Linked DNA regions of Drosophila melanogaster. The protein of the gene in region 2 interacts with the protein of the main gene of each other region in a biochemical or structural test. Each region holds a gene or a part of one and is shown on either strand. Other genes may lie near its edges. The genes, in order: png and plu.

Region 1 (3,839 bases), on a different chromosome or scaffold from region 2:
ATTGTTGCGTTGTAAAGAGAGCCGGCGCTCGTCTTGTTCACATTGTCGCTGAGAACGTATGTCGTTTTGATTCATTGTTCTAAGTCCACATATAACAATTACCAGAACAATATGGAATAATTATTTATTTTAGTAAATAATTACTATAGTCAATAATTGTTAGTTGTGCAAACTGCACTTTACACTTTGTGTTTAACTTTCACTATACTGTTGTAGTTTTTAGAACTTGCTATTCGTAGCTTGAAAGAAACACGTCTCCACCCGAAGACTGTGGAATGCCGAACGCGCGCTTTAATGCTATCTAAAATTGACTACGGACTGCCAATCTTCGGTTGGTGTGCTAAATCACACTTAAAAAAGCTACAAGTCCCATATCACGGAGCGGTCCGTCGCGCCATTCACGCATTTCCCACATCTCCAGTAGCGTGCACATTGGCAGAATCGGGTCTCCCGAGTATCCAATCACGCGTAGAAGAAACTACATTGATGCTTATCCCGAAGCTGTACACCACGTCAAACTGCCTGCTAACCAAAGACTTCGGAGCCATATTTAAACAAAAACGGAAATTCAAGTGCATATCCACCCTAAGACGTTGCGCCAACTACATCAAGCTACTTGACCTTCCCCTGCCTAAGCCCAGGAGGCCCTTCAAATCGCCAGCACTTTGGGGTTCCAAACAGCCTAACATAAACCTTCAAATATACAATGCTGCCAAAAAGGATACAGGTCGCCTAGAATACCAAAAACGTTTTATGAGCGCACAAGAAGATCTTGGTGTGAAAAACTGGATCTACACCGATGGTTCTAAAGTCACCGGCGCAACTACTTTTGCGGTTGTTGACTCTAACCGTAAAATAATTGCAGGAGGTAGGCTTCCGTCCTACAACTCCATATTTACAGCCGAAGCTTTCGCCATTCTCAAAGCATGCCAATTCGCTTCCAAAAACGCTGGAAAATCTGTTATCTGCACAGACAGCCTCTCCTCTCTTTCCGCTATACGCAACTGGAACCATAATGACCCCACAACACAAGAAGTTAGGCACATTCTAAGTTCTCACCCAAAAAAAATCACCTTACTCTGGGTTCCCAGTCATCAAGGTATTCATGGGAATGAACTTGCTGACAAAGCCGCCCAAGAGATGAGGCTTACACCATCAATCCTGTTCACTCCGTTTAACTCCAAGGACCTAAAAAGTCGAATCAAGTTATACCTCAAAGAAAAGAAACTCTCCGAATGGGCACTCTTCATGCACAGGTACCAGTCTATCAATCCGAATTGCATCATGTTCAAGCCACCAACGAACGTACATAAACGGGAATGCGCGACCTTTATCCGTCTACGCATCGGGCACACCCAATCCACACATCAACACTTACTGATGAGATCGGCGCGACCAACATGCCAACTATGCGGGGACGAGCTCACCGTTGACCATATTCTCAACGCCTGCAGTCAATTGCACTCAATTAGATCTCACTTATTTGGTACACATAGTCTCTCGAATTGTTTAAGTATCCCATCCTGTGAAAATATCTCAAAAATTTACAAATTTGTCCAAAAAGCTAAGTTTATTATATAAAGCAATTAACCCATAAGTCTCGAGTCGAAGGCCCCCGTAGCTAGTACTCATTAAATTTAATTAGGTTTAGTATTGTATACTATATTTAATTTTGTTAAATAAAATAAATAAAAATTTAGGATAGTCATACTTTTCACATGGATGGACTTTTTGAATGGGGTTAGTTCACGATGCGTTAGTTTGATTAATTAACCAGACTCTAATAACTTACTTTCATTGAGCACTGTTGCTGCTGGCCAGATGAGCAATTTTCATATGGGGTTTCCGAAGTTCCGAGTTTTCGGCTTTTTCCGATGGAACTGTGCATCTCTTGTTTCGAAGCAATCGATAGATGGCGCGCTTGCGCTTTTGCTGGCTAACTGTACATCAAGGCGGGATCGCGGATTACGCTTTCGGAACTCTGCGCACTCGAGATGGAACTGGGTGACTCTAAGCTGCGTGCGGTAAGGGTGCTGGGCCAGGGCACCTTTGGCCGGGTCTTCCTCTGCCACCAAAACGAGGTGCGCGGACAGCCGGAGAGGAAGGTGTGCGTGAAGCGGATCATCGTCCGGAATCCGAAGACAGAGTTGGGATTGATCAAGGAGGAGGTGTACATCATCTCGCAGCTGCGCCACCCGCACATCGTTGAGTTCCTGCGCTCCTTTAGCCACGCGGGCACTGTGAACATCGTGATGGAGTACGTGCCCAACGGCACCTTGAGGGATGTCATCCAGCAGCTGCCGTCAGGCACCGGGGGAGTCAATCAGGAGCGGCTGATGGGCTACTTCCGCGACATGGTAGTGGGACTCGAGTACCTGCACATCCGCTGCGTCATCCACCGAGACATCAAGCCCGAGAACATGCTCCTCGACGCCAACGACCGCGTCAAGATCGCCGACTTTGGGATCGCGAACGTTCATGCGCCCAGCACTCAACTGCAGGCGGGCATGGGCACGCCCATGTACATGGCCCCGGAGGCGATGTCCAGCCAGGGCAAGGTGGATTTCAAGTCGGACGTGTGGTCACTGGGGCTAGTCCTCTACGAGCTGTGCCTCGGACGCAGCCCCTTCGCCGCGTTTCTCGACAAGAACGCCACCCCTGCCCTACTGCACACCGTAGTCCAGGCGCTGGTCCGCCCCCGGCTCGACTGCCAGCTCATCCGGCGTCTCTACGATCCCGTGTGGGCGCAAGTTTGCGAGCTGATGGTCGTTTACGAGCAGGAGCGCCGCATCTGCCTACCAGACATCTTCCACCTCGACGCCGGCATGACTGTGACCCTCTACAAGCATTACTTCAGCTACAGCTACTAACGGAAGCCAATGGTCAGCTCACCAGCACGAGGAGACCTCAACAAATATTTCATTGTACTTAAGAACTAGGCTAGCTTAAGCGATAAATTAAGGTGTGTGCTGTGCTTTGTGTGCGCCTGTGCTTTTGCCAGGGGATCTGTCAGCTATAAACAGTATATAATGTATATTCCAAAACAGTCTCGCTCAATGTCATTAACGTAGTCTTTAATTTACATTTGTTCACCTATTGTACAGTAACATTAATCCTCTAAAGCTTCTGGCCCTGCTGCTGCAGCTGGATCTTACGCTTCAGACTCTTTACCAGGGCGTTCTGCTCCAGCTGCTGCTTACTCCTCTTGGGGGCTACCTGCTCATCCCCATCCGCATCGCCGTTTGCAGCGCCGCCCTCCCCCTGCTCCTTTCTGCGCTTTAACTTCTCGCCGATGATCTGCTGCATGCCCTTGGTGGGCTTGTAATGGGAGTGGGTGGGATCGATGTTGTACTCGTGCGACTTGTAAACGGCACTGAAGCGATTATCATTCAGGTTTACCTGGAAGTCGTCGTCCAGCTTCTCCGCATTCTGCGGCTGATTTTTCGATTTCTTTAACTTCTGACGACGCTTTCGCTTTGAACCGCTCGCTTCTTGCTCCTCCTTCTTGAGGATTTTGGTCAGACTGAAGTGTTGCTTCTCGTCGCGCCCGTCGCCATCGTCCAGCAGTAGCTCAAGCTCCTTCTCTTGCCGCTTCGCCTCGACGTCCTCCTCTCCATCGTCCTTTCCCTTCTTTTTCTTTTTCTTCTTGTCCTGCTTCGTTTTAGGGGGAGCGTAGTCTCCATTAGCGAACTCCTCGGCGAAATAGGCGTCATTCAAATCGATGCCATCGGGCACCATGGACTCATCGCTGTCCTCACCGGCATCGCCTCCTCTGGCTTCGATCTGGCGCTGGCGGCGCTGTTCCTTGCGCTGCCTGTTCTTCTCGCTGCGTTTCTGGA
Region 2 (3,382 bases):
TTCATCTCGTAGTCCGATACCTTCTCCTGGTTAGCCGATTCGAACATGATGGTGACAGTGTCGGCGTTATCCTGCGCCTTCATCGTCACATTGTCCTCGTTGTTGGCGCATTTCAGAATCTTGGCCATGCTGCCCAGATTCATGCCCATGGAGAGATTGCGGTCGCAGCGAAACTTGTCGAAGCCATCGGAACGCAGGGTCAGCGAGACAAGCGACACATGGGAGTTGTCCATGGCCTGTAGCTGTAAGTTGAACAAGGTGTTAGGGATATGCATTTAAAATCTTTTTTGTGCAATTTTTACCTGAATGCCGGAGTCGCTGCAATCGAAGGTTGCCTCATTGAGCAGATCCTTGATGGCATCCAAGATCTTCTTCAGGATGGTGGCTTGACCCAGGCGTGCCTCGAACATATTGAATGTGTTTTATTATTTAAATACTGATGACGGGCTTAAGAATTTAACAGCAGTAATGTTACCGCGGCTGTGACTTTGGGATGAATGATTAACGTGGGCTGTTTTTTTTTTTTACTTTCAGGCGGGCTAAATGAGCGGGATAGGGATGTGAAAAGCCACGGGCGATATCGACTGAATCTATCGATAGCAGCCAGCGAGCGGCCTGCCAACTGGTTTGATTAACATATTATGTTCACACTTTTTACAGAGTATATTTATTTCAAACATTAAAATTAATAAATTATTACAAAATGACAATACATTAACGCAGACGATTGCTAATAAAAGTGGGAGGAGAGCGCACATTGCGCTTATCTAAGCGGCCTGCAGCTTTAATCATTCCTCGCAGCTCTGCAACTCCCAGACCTGAAATAAATTTACTTTAATGTTACTATATAAATACACTTGATTTTTACTAACCATGCACTGTTTGAGTTTCTTGCACGCCCCTCGAATCCAATTGAGTAAAATAGGCCACCAAAGCGGAGTGTTTTTGCAGTGTAGCCACACAGAGGGCCGGGATCATCGAGGACAGATTGAAATCCTTGTAGGATCTTCGCCTCAACAGTTCCTTTACTAAAGTCAAATGCCCAGCATAAGTGGCCAGTGTCAGGGCATTTTGACCAAAATAGTTCATAGCAAAGATATTTGCACCGAATTCCAGCAGCGTACGAGCGCACTCAAATCGACCCAAATAGCAGGCCTTCAATAGGGCGGTATTCCCGTACATGTCCACATCCTCGAGGTTGTGCTGCTTGCCGTCGCGAGCCATGGTGCACACGATGCGCAGGGAAACGACATCGTCCTGTCCAACGCAGCTGAGTGCTTAAATGCAATGCATTTTTATCAATATTGGAAATTCGCATAGCTAATATAATTTACCATTTATTTCACCCATTCTGAAAAGCTTTCATATAACGGTGCTCTAGGGATGCAGTACGATAAAACGTATTACGAAATGTGGGGAATAAAATATAAAATATAAAGAAACATAAAATATGAAGTTTAATTTTTTAAATGTGCACACAGAGCATATCTAAATGGCACTTTAAGCATTTTCATTGAACAAAAGTTCGGCGCCTTTTGAATTTTTAAATTTGCATTAGTGATGGACCAGAGTGCGCCTAACAGCACACGGCGAACTATTAACAGCACGCGTCCCGAACGTGGCAGGCAATTTTAGGTTTTTTACTCCGCCTCAGGCAGCCACATTAATTCGGCCTTCTTTTCTTTTCCCGTTTCCGGTGAGTGGTGTGCTGCCCATTTGATTTTTCCAAAATTCTAAAACAAAATACCTCTTAATTCTTTACAGTGAGGAGTAAATACGAGAATACAAACGGCAAAATGGTGAGTTACCTCAAATATGTGCGATTCTGAGCGCCAAACGACAAATTTATAGTGAATTGCAAATGCCGTTAGCTGTTGGCAAAAATGGCGTGGTTTATATGCATTATACTAATGTTTTTTCTTTGCATTCTTGCAGTCGCTCGTCATCCCAGAGAAGTTCCAGCACATCCTGCGTATCATGAATACGAACATCGACGGCAAGCGCAAGGTTGGCATCGCCATGACCGCCATCAAGGGAGTGGGTCGCCGCTACTCCAACATTGTGCTGAAGAAGGCCGATGTCGATCTTACCAAGCGCGCCGGTGAGTGCACCGAGGAGGAGGTAAGTTGAGCACGCCCAATCCGTTCGAGACGCACACCAACCTAAATGCCATGTTTGCAGGTCGACAAGGTGGTGACCATCATCTCGAACCCTCTGCAGTACAAGGTGCCCAACTGGTTCCTCAACAGGCAGAAGGACATCATCGATGGCAAGTACTGGCAGCTGACCTCCTCCAACTTGGACTCGAAGCTGCGTGACGATCTGGAGCGTCTGAAGAAGATCCGCTCCCACCGTGGTCTGCGTCACTACTGGGGCCTCCGTGTGCGTGGCCAGCACACCAAGACCACCGGTCGTCGTGGTCGCACCGTGGGTGTGTCCAAGAAGAAGTAAGCTTAGCAGCGTTCCCTGCCGGAACGGATTTCCGATTCGACTTTAATTTTCACATCAACCACAAAATAAAAGAAAACACGGAAGCCGGAACGTTTTAGTGCGGAGTATACGTGAAGTTTGTTATATTTCTAATCTGTTTACGTGTTGGCGTCATCTAAATTGTACGAATATGTCCAGTGGTGAATCGCCGGTGAAGACGCAGAGCAGCATATGCCTGCTGTGGCTGGTCATATGCAAGACGGCCCGCTTCCAGTTCTCCAATACGCTAACCAGCGTGATCATCATTGTGGGGCCCATCGTAGTCTTCCTCGTTTATGCGGCGACGGCTTTGTTCCGAGAGCCGCAAGAGGAGACGTCGGTGAAGTACCCGCCCGTCAACATCACAACCAAAGTGCCGTATGTATAAGCCGATTGCCACAATAGTCCAGGCCACCCTGACAACACCACATGAACCAACCAGGTACATTTACTACTCACCTGAGAATCTAGTCTTGGCTGCTGTCATCGAGGATGTGGTTCACGATCTGAAGGCCGTTGGCAGTAAGGCCTTTGCCAGCGCATCTGAATTGAATAAAGCGCTGATAGGAAAGGATACATATGGCTACGTGGGCATTGAGTTTGATGACAGCTTCAGCGACATAAATGAGCTTCCGATTAATGTCACGGTGGGCCTGCGTTTTCCGCTTCACCTACGCAAGAATCCCAAGATGGTTTGGGACAACACTTCAATCTTGAAGCACTCCAAAATGGACGTTGATTACTATCAGGTGGAGGGATTTTTGGTTGTGCAAGCCAAGCTCAGCGAGGCGTTGATCAGGGCCAAAAACGAAGCCGTCGTCCTGCCGGAAGTAATCCTGCAGCACTATCCCGATGTCGCGGAAGTGGACAGATTGGATAATAGGGTAGCTTTGGGCGGAGTTCTCTTCCTGCC

What was found.
Region 1: of the proteins of plu (region 2) and png, one has a biochemical effect on the other in vitro, tested with the Drosophila melanogaster proteins (one study listed by BioGRID).

Annotation. Positions count from the first base shown.
Region 1 is NC_004354.4:1,355,689-1,359,527, reverse strand, and holds png (pan gu), read left to right. Parts: upstream 1-1,926; 5' UTR 1,927-1,994; coding exon 1,995-2,870; 3' UTR 2,871-3,040; downstream 3,041-3,839. Other genes in the region: CG11417 (uncharacterized protein), read right to left, coding at 3,118-3,839.
Region 2 is NT_033778.4:20,262,312-20,265,693, forward strand, and holds plu (plutonium), read right to left. Parts: upstream 1,374-3,382; 5' UTR 1,351-1,373; coding exon 1,335-1,350; intron 1,278-1,334; coding exon 873-1,277; intron 819-872; coding exon 715-818; 3' UTR 647-714; downstream 1-646. Other genes in the region: PCNA (proliferating cell nuclear antigen), read right to left, coding at 1-242, 303-410; RpS18 (ribosomal protein S18), read left to right, coding at 1,797-1,799, 1,936-2,121, 2,182-2,451; CG8908 (uncharacterized protein), read left to right, coding at 2,621-2,847, 2,912-3,382. UniProt on the Drosophila melanogaster protein: Inhibits DNA replication early in developments. May bind and block the action of a replication or initiation factor.